Coturnix japonica: one gene and its partner. The protein of the gene in region 1 binds, or shares a complex with, the protein of each later gene. Links are inferred from orthologs where the notes say so. Each region holds a gene or a part of one and is shown on either strand. Other genes may lie near its edges.

Region 1 (3,609 bases):
GCCAGGCTCTGAGCAGCTCGCAGGGCTGGGGGTGCAGCTCGGTACAAACCCACGGCCTTAGCACAAGGCTCCAGCAACAGCAGCTTAGAGATTTGTGAAAGACACCTCTGGTGAGTGGAACCAAAATGCAGCTCTGGTTCCCTGAAATCCCATTCACGTGTTCCCTGATATGCTAAACACAGACAAGGCCAGCACAGTTACAAGTCCCAGTACAAAGCAGGTCTCTGTTTCTATTCCTAGAGAAGAACAGTAAGGAGGAGGGGCATCTCCAGCACCAGGTGCCAGCTGTGGCCTCAGCACTGGGCCGCGCTCTCCTTGGGCTGCAAGAAGCACCTTCCAAGGAGGGAGTGCAAAGCTGAGGAGCAGTTACAGGAACCTGTTTTGAAAAGAATGAAGCAAAAAAAGACCTGAGCTGCCTCAGCGCTCCCCCACCAGTCGCTCTGTGATGGCTGCTGCTCCTGGCTCACAGTTGCCTCCTGCATGTCAGCAACAGAAGCGTAACCATCTGGGACTGCAGCCTCCCCCCAAAAGAACTGTGCATCAGATGGACCTTGAAAAAGATTACATCTGTTTATTAATAGTAAAAATGGATACATTTGTCCTACATTTTGTTTTTAGAAATTTGATCATGTCACAAGCAATACCTGCGTGTACGTGGGTGTATTACAGATGTATATAATTTATTTTAACCAGGCTGTGAAATAATATGTAATCACATCTCTTCTTGTGATTGTACATAATACAGTAATTAAATGATGCCAGTCTACGTCATTCTCTTATTTCTAATCAAAGGAACCTGAAGCGTAACAGTCTTCTTTCCGGCTGATATGGCTCTTTATTTGTGTCACAGGGGAGACCTCCCTCACCAAGGAGGGATCACCTTGCAGCCGTGAGAGATGGGGTTGTGCCGATGTCCTCCCGGCCGCTCCTGCCCTCAGCAGTGGAGCAGCGCCGCTCTGCCCCGGCCACTGGCAGCCCCCGCTCTGAACACGGCGGTCAGGCTCTATTCGAGGCCCGGTGCTACTGCTGTCCTGACTTCTTCTCCTTCTGGAAGCTAAAGCTTGTTCTCCTGTTCAGTTTTCTTTGTTTCTGAGCAAAATATTCTGCTCTGGCTGTACTCGCTCGTGATTCCAGAATATAGTTAACCTGCAAGACACAAAAAGATTTCACTGCACTGGTGCTTCAGTGTGCAGCCCTGGGAGGGCATGGACACTCAACAGGGCAACAGGAAAAGGGCAAAACCATGGCAGAAGCAGCCCTCCATGTGGGCCATCCCCCGCTCTGCCCCTGTCCCCACGGACCGGAGGGGCTGAGCAGCTTTGTCCCCCAACGCAGCATGTCCTGCGGCCGCTGTGCTGCTCTGGTGTGGTAATGGACTTCAATAAAATATTTTATCAGCTTTAATAAAAATAATACCTCCATTATGATGTTTGCATACTCAGCTAATCTTAGAGTTTCCCCGTGTTTTGGCACATTTTACTTGATGAAAGCATTTTTAAATGATATTTAACAAGGCTGCTATTCCCTAAATTTATTGTCTCCAGTGCTTTGTGATAATCACATAGATAATTTTAATGGAAGGTTAATGCAAGAATCAAAAAGATAAAAATGCCCTTTGGTCCACCATTAGCTGGTTAATATGCTGTGGCTTAAAACTTGCACGATTTTATGCACTGTAGAGTGTTTCACTTTCATTGCATATTACGGCTTAAGGCGTAGAAATATAGGGAGTTTTCATGGTCAATAAAGCCTCAGTGTCTTGCACTTGATCATGTAAAAAGCCTAATTTGAAAAGTCTGATTCCTCTACATCTCTTAATGCTGACGGAACTGAAAATAAACTGGTAACTTACACACAAAACCAGGAAGAGTTTTGCATAAACAATCTGCAAGGTAAGACAAAAAGTACTGTTTGGTAACGTTTTTCCCCTGAATATTCTCATTACTCAGAGCAAAACTTTCTCCAGCCCTGTGTGAGCAGTATGGCTCTGCCAAGTGCTCTGGGGACTCCGCAGATGAAGTGGGAGCAGAAGAGGTTGCCTTGTTGGACTGAGAGCCAAGGAAGAAGGCAGCACGCACTTGGCTGCCAACAACAGCACTGCAGTGGGTCAGTCGTTCAGCAGTCCTTTGGACTTCACACAGCAAAGCAAACATAATGGCTGGATTCCTAAAATGACTATTCTTTTGATTTTGAATTGATATAAGATATTAGATCGCAGAAAATTAAGTCTAATCTTCTGATTTGTTTCAGGAATTAGACCAATATGTACATCAGAGAGCTGTGGGAAAAGCAGGCAATTCTGGGCAAGCACCCAGAGAAAAAGCAGTCCTTCTGTGGCACTCAGCACTGCCCCAACCCAGCTCTGCTCTGCTTGAGCCACACCGACACCAACACCTGTAACCCTGTGTGCTCCACGTGTGCCCCATGGCCCAGCAGTGTCAGTTCCTGACTAAAACCCAACCTGGGAGAGGAGCAGCCAACTGGGAGCTGAAGCACCCAAGTGCTCCACAGGTGCTATGCCGTGCCTGTATTTCAGATCCTCCTGAAGATTCCCATGTCTAACAAGTGGCACAACACTCAGAATTTTGGGTCACGTTAAAATTTAAAACTCACCTTCAGTACAATTTCATTGACAGTAGCAGCATCTGATTCAAAGTACAGGTGTTTGTAGTCGTGATTGCTTAGATATGTAAGTTTAAATATTGCATGACCTGCAAAGATAAGAAAAAAGGTTCAGAATATTTCTCTAAAGTTTTCTGCGGAGCCGTGTGCCTGACAGAAGCAAAACACAGATGGTGATCTTAGCATACCATCAGCACAACAGAAGGGAGCAATGAAATGCTGACAGGCTTCTCATGTCATTTCAATTTAAGGCAAGTGGTGGCTTACAGGAGCAGCTGAACTCTTCCAATAAAGTTCATTTTCCCATCACAACCCTGCTGCAGGAAATGCAAAGATCTATCAGACGGTGAGTTAGCTCACAGCCAGCCCACGGCCGGAGCACTTGCAGCACCGTGCTGCAGCAACTCACCTAGATTCATGGTGCAATTACCACATGTAGAAGTGTTATATTTAAGATAAAAGGCCAATTAATCTCAGGATTATCATAAAATCCCCTCCCCAAAATAACACCCAAACTTACTCTGTTGCTAAGGCAAAGGAAAACGTCACCATAAAATGCAAAGGTATGTAGCAATGGTACCAGGAAACCAGACACCTGCAAGCAGAACAATCTAACAACAAGCAGAACAACTAACTCAGAACTGCAGTTTTTATCTGTGCAGTGCCCTGGTGGTAACCTTCCCCACTGCTCAGACCCCAGCAGAGGGTGGTAGTGACTGCTGACCCCAACGTGATGGAGCTGAGGCTGCTACGGGCAGTGGTGCCAGAGCAGCTGCAGGGCTGAATGTGTGGTGCTGTGAGCAGGCTGGGTATGTGGTGCTGCTCAGGTGTGCTGCAGACGATGGGTGATGTGCTGACCGCCCACTCCTCAACCACACATCACCAGGAGGAGGTGGGACATGGAGCCATGGAGTGAGAGATTAATGCAAAAATTAATGGAGACCATAGCTTTCATCATGCCCAACAAAGGAACCCTCCCAGGATCCC
Region 2 (4,436 bases), on another chromosome or scaffold:
CCTAATCCCTGCCGACACCTCCTGCACAGCACAGCGCAGGGCAGCGCTGCACCCGGACCCAGCGTGTCCCGTAGGGCAGCACGGGGCCCTGGCACAGGGCAGAGCAGGGCAGCAACGTGCGGGTGTGTGCTGAGCATCCACGGCCATGGCCGCGGGTTGCGCCCTGTGCTCGTGTGATGCGCCTCGTGTGCGGCGTGGATGCGCTTTGTGATGCTCCTGGTGCCTGCAGGGGACAACGGCGGCCCTTGCTCTGTGCCATCCCATCCCTGCAGCATTTCCATCCCGCCCGGCGATGGATGTGTCAGCCCTCGTGGGAGGAGCTGTGCGGGTGCGGGAGGGTATGGGGCTCTGAGAGCGGTATGGGGAGCTCAGCACCCCCTGGCCGCAGGAAGGCCGTTCATAGACAGAGCGCTAATTGCACTGCCATGGCAACACAGCGCCTGATCAGAGCGGGGATAAATATTTGGACAGACGCTGTCAGCTCGCCAAGACCGGGCGTTTTTAATATCCGTTATCTAACTCGAATAGAGCGCAGGTTGCCCGGATCAGACCCTGCCGGTGCCGGGCTGCAGCACCGATGGCAGCAGCGGCTCCCTCCCATGGCTGAGCGCATCTCGGGGCCGTGTCCCGCTCCCCCGCAGCGCCCGGCCCCGTTCCCCTCTTACCTCCCGGAGCCGCTCAGCGCAATGCCCGGCCGTCCCGCCGCCGTTGCCATGCGGAGCCCACGCTGCCGCAGCGCGGCGGTGCGTGCGGGGGCGGCCGCGTGGAGCCCAGCCCACACCCCCGCTCCCGGAGCATCCCCGCGATTCAGCCCCGGTACCGCCGCGCCCGGTCGGTCCCGCTCCCCCGGGACAGGGACGCACCGGCCGCCCCAGGGAACGGCTGCGCCTCCCGGTGCGGTACCGCATGGCGGCCCCGGTACTAAAGGACAGCCCCAGCCCCCGGAGCGCCCCTTACCGGCAGGTGCGGTACCGGGCGGGCACCCCCCGGGCGCGGGTACGAGCACTGCCCCACGGCCGCCACCGCCGCTCTTAAAGGGCCCGACAGCAGCGCTGCACCGGCACGGCGGGACTCTGCTGCGAGCTGGCTCAGTGCCCTGCCGGCCCTGGGACGTGTGTGCCCTATTTGTGCCCTATTTGTGCCCTATTTGTGCCCTATTTGTGCCCCGTGTGCCCGCACCCCGTGTCCCGGTACCCGCACCCCACACCCCCATCAATCCCCAGCCCCCTGCCCCGCTCCGCTCGGTGCGGCCGTTCCCATCACAGCGCCCCCTGGCGGCGATGTCGGGATGTGACTCACTCAGCGCTGACAGCGCCCCGCAGTCCCGCCTCACCGCCGCTGCTCTCTGCGCATGCTCCTTTGACATCACCGACCCGCTTGCGCAGAGCCCGTACCGGCTCCGCGGTGCCGCCGCCATGAACGCGGCTCAGGGCACGGTGGGCAGCGACCCCGTTATCTTGGCCACGGCCGGGTACGACCACACGGTGCGATTCTGGCAGGCGCACAGCGGCATCTGCACCCGCACCGTGCAGCACCAGGACTCCGTATCCTGCACCGGGACCGGCGTGAGGGGGGAGGCCCCGGTGTAACGGGGGGGGGGGGTCCCAGCTTAAGGGGGGGGCCCGGTGTAGGTGGTGGGGTCTCGGTGTGGTCTCGGTGTCATACAGCCCTTAGCACTGCTGGCAGCAGGTGAACGCCCTGGAGATCACTCCTGACCGCAGCATGATCGCAGCCGCAGGTGAGCCCCGGGGTGTTTGGGGTCGCTGGGTGCCCCTGGTATTTCTGAGCTCCATTCGCTGCCATAGGGTATCAACACATCCGTATGTACGACCTCAACTCCAACAACCCCAACCCCGTCATCAATTACGATGGTGTGAGCAAGAACATCACGTCCGTGGGCTTCCACGAGGATGGGCGCTGGATGTATACGGGTGGGGAGGACTGCATGGCACGGATATGGGACCTCAGGTGAGCGCGGGGTCTGCTGCAGGGAGAACATTCCTCCGCAGGCTCGTGTGGGCTCATTCGGTCTCTTTTTTGTTGCAGGTCTCGTAACCTGCAGTGCCAGCGGATCTTCCAAGTCAATGCTCCCATTAACTGTGTCTGCCTGCACCCCAACCAGGTACACTGATTGTCACTGGCCTTCCTGGAAAAGGTGATGCTCCCTCAAATGCTTGGCAGTCTGGAGCATTGCTCAGCCCATGGTCTTGGTTGCATGGACCCCTCGGCTCTTGGTGGCTTTGCAGCTGCACGTCCATGTATTCCCTTGCAGAGCAGCTGCTGCATGACCAGGCTTGGTGCAGGCAGAGTGTGGCCCTGCCCCTGCCTTTGCTGCTTCTTGTCAGGGAACAAACATCCTCAAGCAGGGCTGGCAGCCAGCAGATGTCTCTGGCTTCTGTCTTGCTCATACTGCACCTGCAGCAAGCATCAGCATCCATGCTGGAACCATCAGGTTTTTGCTGAGCATCTTTGTGCTAGTTACCTGCTGGCTGTTGGACACAAGCAGTGCTACCAGTAGAAAAAAGCAGAGGCCAACAGCCCCAGTAAGGTCTGTGGTGTCTTCAGGGTTTGCTGGAGATCCACCACTCAGTTCAAAAGCTGTCAGAGAGGTCACTTGGGTTAAAGAAATGGAGCTAATGGGGATGATGGGGATGCATTAGTGGGCATGGTGGTGAAATCGATGCGTATCATTGCAGTGTTAATAACGCATCTGATCCATTCTTTATCCATGGTGCTGCAGGGTGGGAGCTGCAGACAAAGCAGCATAAGGTTGGTTTTTTCTCAAAGCAAATCTTTTAAAAAATATGAATAATAGAAATGTTTCTTTGCTTTTGATTTCTGTAAAAACTCAGTATTACAAATACTGAGTTCTGGACTAAATGTGAGATTGGTCATTTGGAACTGACTTCAGCCAAATGTTGCTGCTGCTGCACCATGAGACTCAGAATGTGTTGCATTAAAACAAATACTGTGCATAAATCATGTGTGTGAGATAATCACTTTGTGTTACTGTAGAAGCAATGGCTTGTGAGCAGGACAGTTAGTTAGCCCAGAGGTGGCAGTATTTAATCAGATAGATCCACAGTATGGACAGGGTGAAGCTGCTTATTCTCAGAGAGGGATTTCTCATGGCCTGGGTAAAGCCACGGCTGTGTTAGAATTGTATTTGCAGATGCTGCTAAGAGTGGGCTAGGAGGTGTCCAGGAGATGCCTCTGCACTACACAGTCAGCTAAATATATCAAGGGATGATTGTCTTCTCCTGAAGCAAGCCGTGGGTCACAGGTACAGGATTAGCTGCATCTGATGACCTGATCTCCTCTAGGGATTCTGCTAAAATTATGGACAGTGTAAGTCTGTCGATAAAAAGCCGTGGTTTTAATGGAGTGCTGCCAGCATTGTCTGCTGCTTTGAGCAGCAGGGATTGGAGCCAGAGCTGCTGCCCTTCAGCTGGCTCCTGTCCTTACCCTCCTGGAGCAGGAGAGACAGAGAAAAACCCACTTAGGCTTGTGTTCTTCAGGTACCTGTCACTATTTTCTTGCAGGCTGAGCTAATTGTGGGTGACCAGAGCGGGGCCATTCACATCTGGGACCTGAAAACAGACCACAATGAGCAGCTGATTCCAGAGCCTGAAGTCTCCGTGAACTCTGTGCACATTGACCCTGATGCCAGCTACATGGCAGCTGTCAACAGCTCGGTGAGCTTGGGCATGAGATGGGATTTGCAGTGCTGGGTTGTCCTTGTGGGGCAAAAGCAGCCAGTTTCTATGCACTATAGAGTTTTGCTGTGCTATGATGGGACACAGAGTCTAGGCTGCTTTTGGCTGAGGTCCACAGAGCCAGTCATAGACGTCCCATCTCCTTGCAGGGAAACTGCTACGTGTGGAACCTGACGGGTGGCATTGGAGAGGAGGTAACCCAGCTGATCCCCAAGACCAAGATCCCAGCACACAACCGTTATGCCCTGCAATGCAAGTTCAGCCCTGACTCCACGTGAGTGTGCTCCTCCACCAGATCAGTTCAGCTTGAATCTTGTAAGGCAGATGATATGGGGTAAAGAAATCTGATTACTAAATACGCAGGGCTTCAGTTCATTATTGTGCCAGGCCTGCATTAATGAGGCCTTTACATGTACAGCATAACTAATAAGATTACCTATGCGTGTGTTATCCTTGCAGGCTCTTGGCTACCTGTTCTGCAGATCAGACATGTAAGATCTGGAGGACTTCAAACTTCTCTCTGATGACAGAGCTGAGCATTAAGAGCAATAACCCAGGGGAAACCTCTCGTGGCTGGATGTGGGACTGTGCCTTCTCTGGAGACTCGCAGTACATTGTCACAGGTGAGACCCTGTTTGCCTGCCTGTCTGCAGGCTGGTGGGGCAGTGCTGGGTGCTGACACAGGACCTAGCATGTTATCTTGGTGGAACATTGCTAAAC

The links. Proteins that work in one complex are often made in the same cells at the same time.
Region 2: the proteins of MAPKAP1 (region 1) and MLST8 are in contact, whole or in part, in a cryo-EM structure (PDB 7PE8), measured with the Homo sapiens proteins. The link is inferred for Coturnix japonica from reciprocal best matches to the Homo sapiens genes MAPKAP1 and MLST8. Residues at the interface, in NP_001006618.1 of Homo sapiens: Lys102, Cys103, Lys104, Asn105, Ile106, Gln107, Trp108, Lys109, Arg111, Asn112, Ser113, Lys121, Leu123, Phe124, Glu125, Lys126, Lys127, Ser128, Leu129, Gly137, Lys138, Gln139, Ser140, Ile141, Leu142, Val144, Arg145, Leu146; in NP_001186102.1 of Homo sapiens: Ala29, His30, Pro77, Ile78, Ile79, Ser80, Tyr81, Asp82, Gly83, Arg98, Arg110, Ile111, Trp112, Gln120, Cys121, Gln122, Arg123, Ile124, Asn139, Gln140, Ala141, Leu157, Lys158, Ile203, Glu206, Ser279, Gly280, Asp281, Gln283, Asp322.

Annotation. Positions count from the first base shown.
Region 1 is NC_029532.1:8,128,741-8,132,349, forward strand, and holds the end of MAPKAP1 (target of rapamycin complex 2 subunit MAPKAP1), read right to left. Parts: intron 2,712-3,609; coding exon 2,614-2,711; intron 1,147-2,613; coding exon 1,021-1,146; 3' UTR 548-1,020; downstream 1-547. UniProt on the Homo sapiens protein: Component of the mechanistic target of rapamycin complex 2 (mTORC2), which transduces signals from growth factors to pathways involved in proliferation, cytoskeletal organization, lipogenesis and anabolic output.
Region 2 is NC_029529.1:6,429,818-6,434,253, forward strand, and holds the start of MLST8 (target of rapamycin complex subunit LST8), read left to right. Parts: upstream 1-1,415; coding exon 1,416-1,544; intron 1,545-1,686; coding exon 1,687-1,738; intron 1,739-1,805; coding exon 1,806-1,968; intron 1,969-2,046; coding exon 2,047-2,122; intron 2,123-3,542; coding exon 3,543-3,695; intron 3,696-3,865; coding exon 3,866-3,990; intron 3,991-4,175; coding exon 4,176-4,339; intron 4,340-4,436. Other genes in the region: hexosaminidase D-like, read right to left, coding at 1,300-1,417.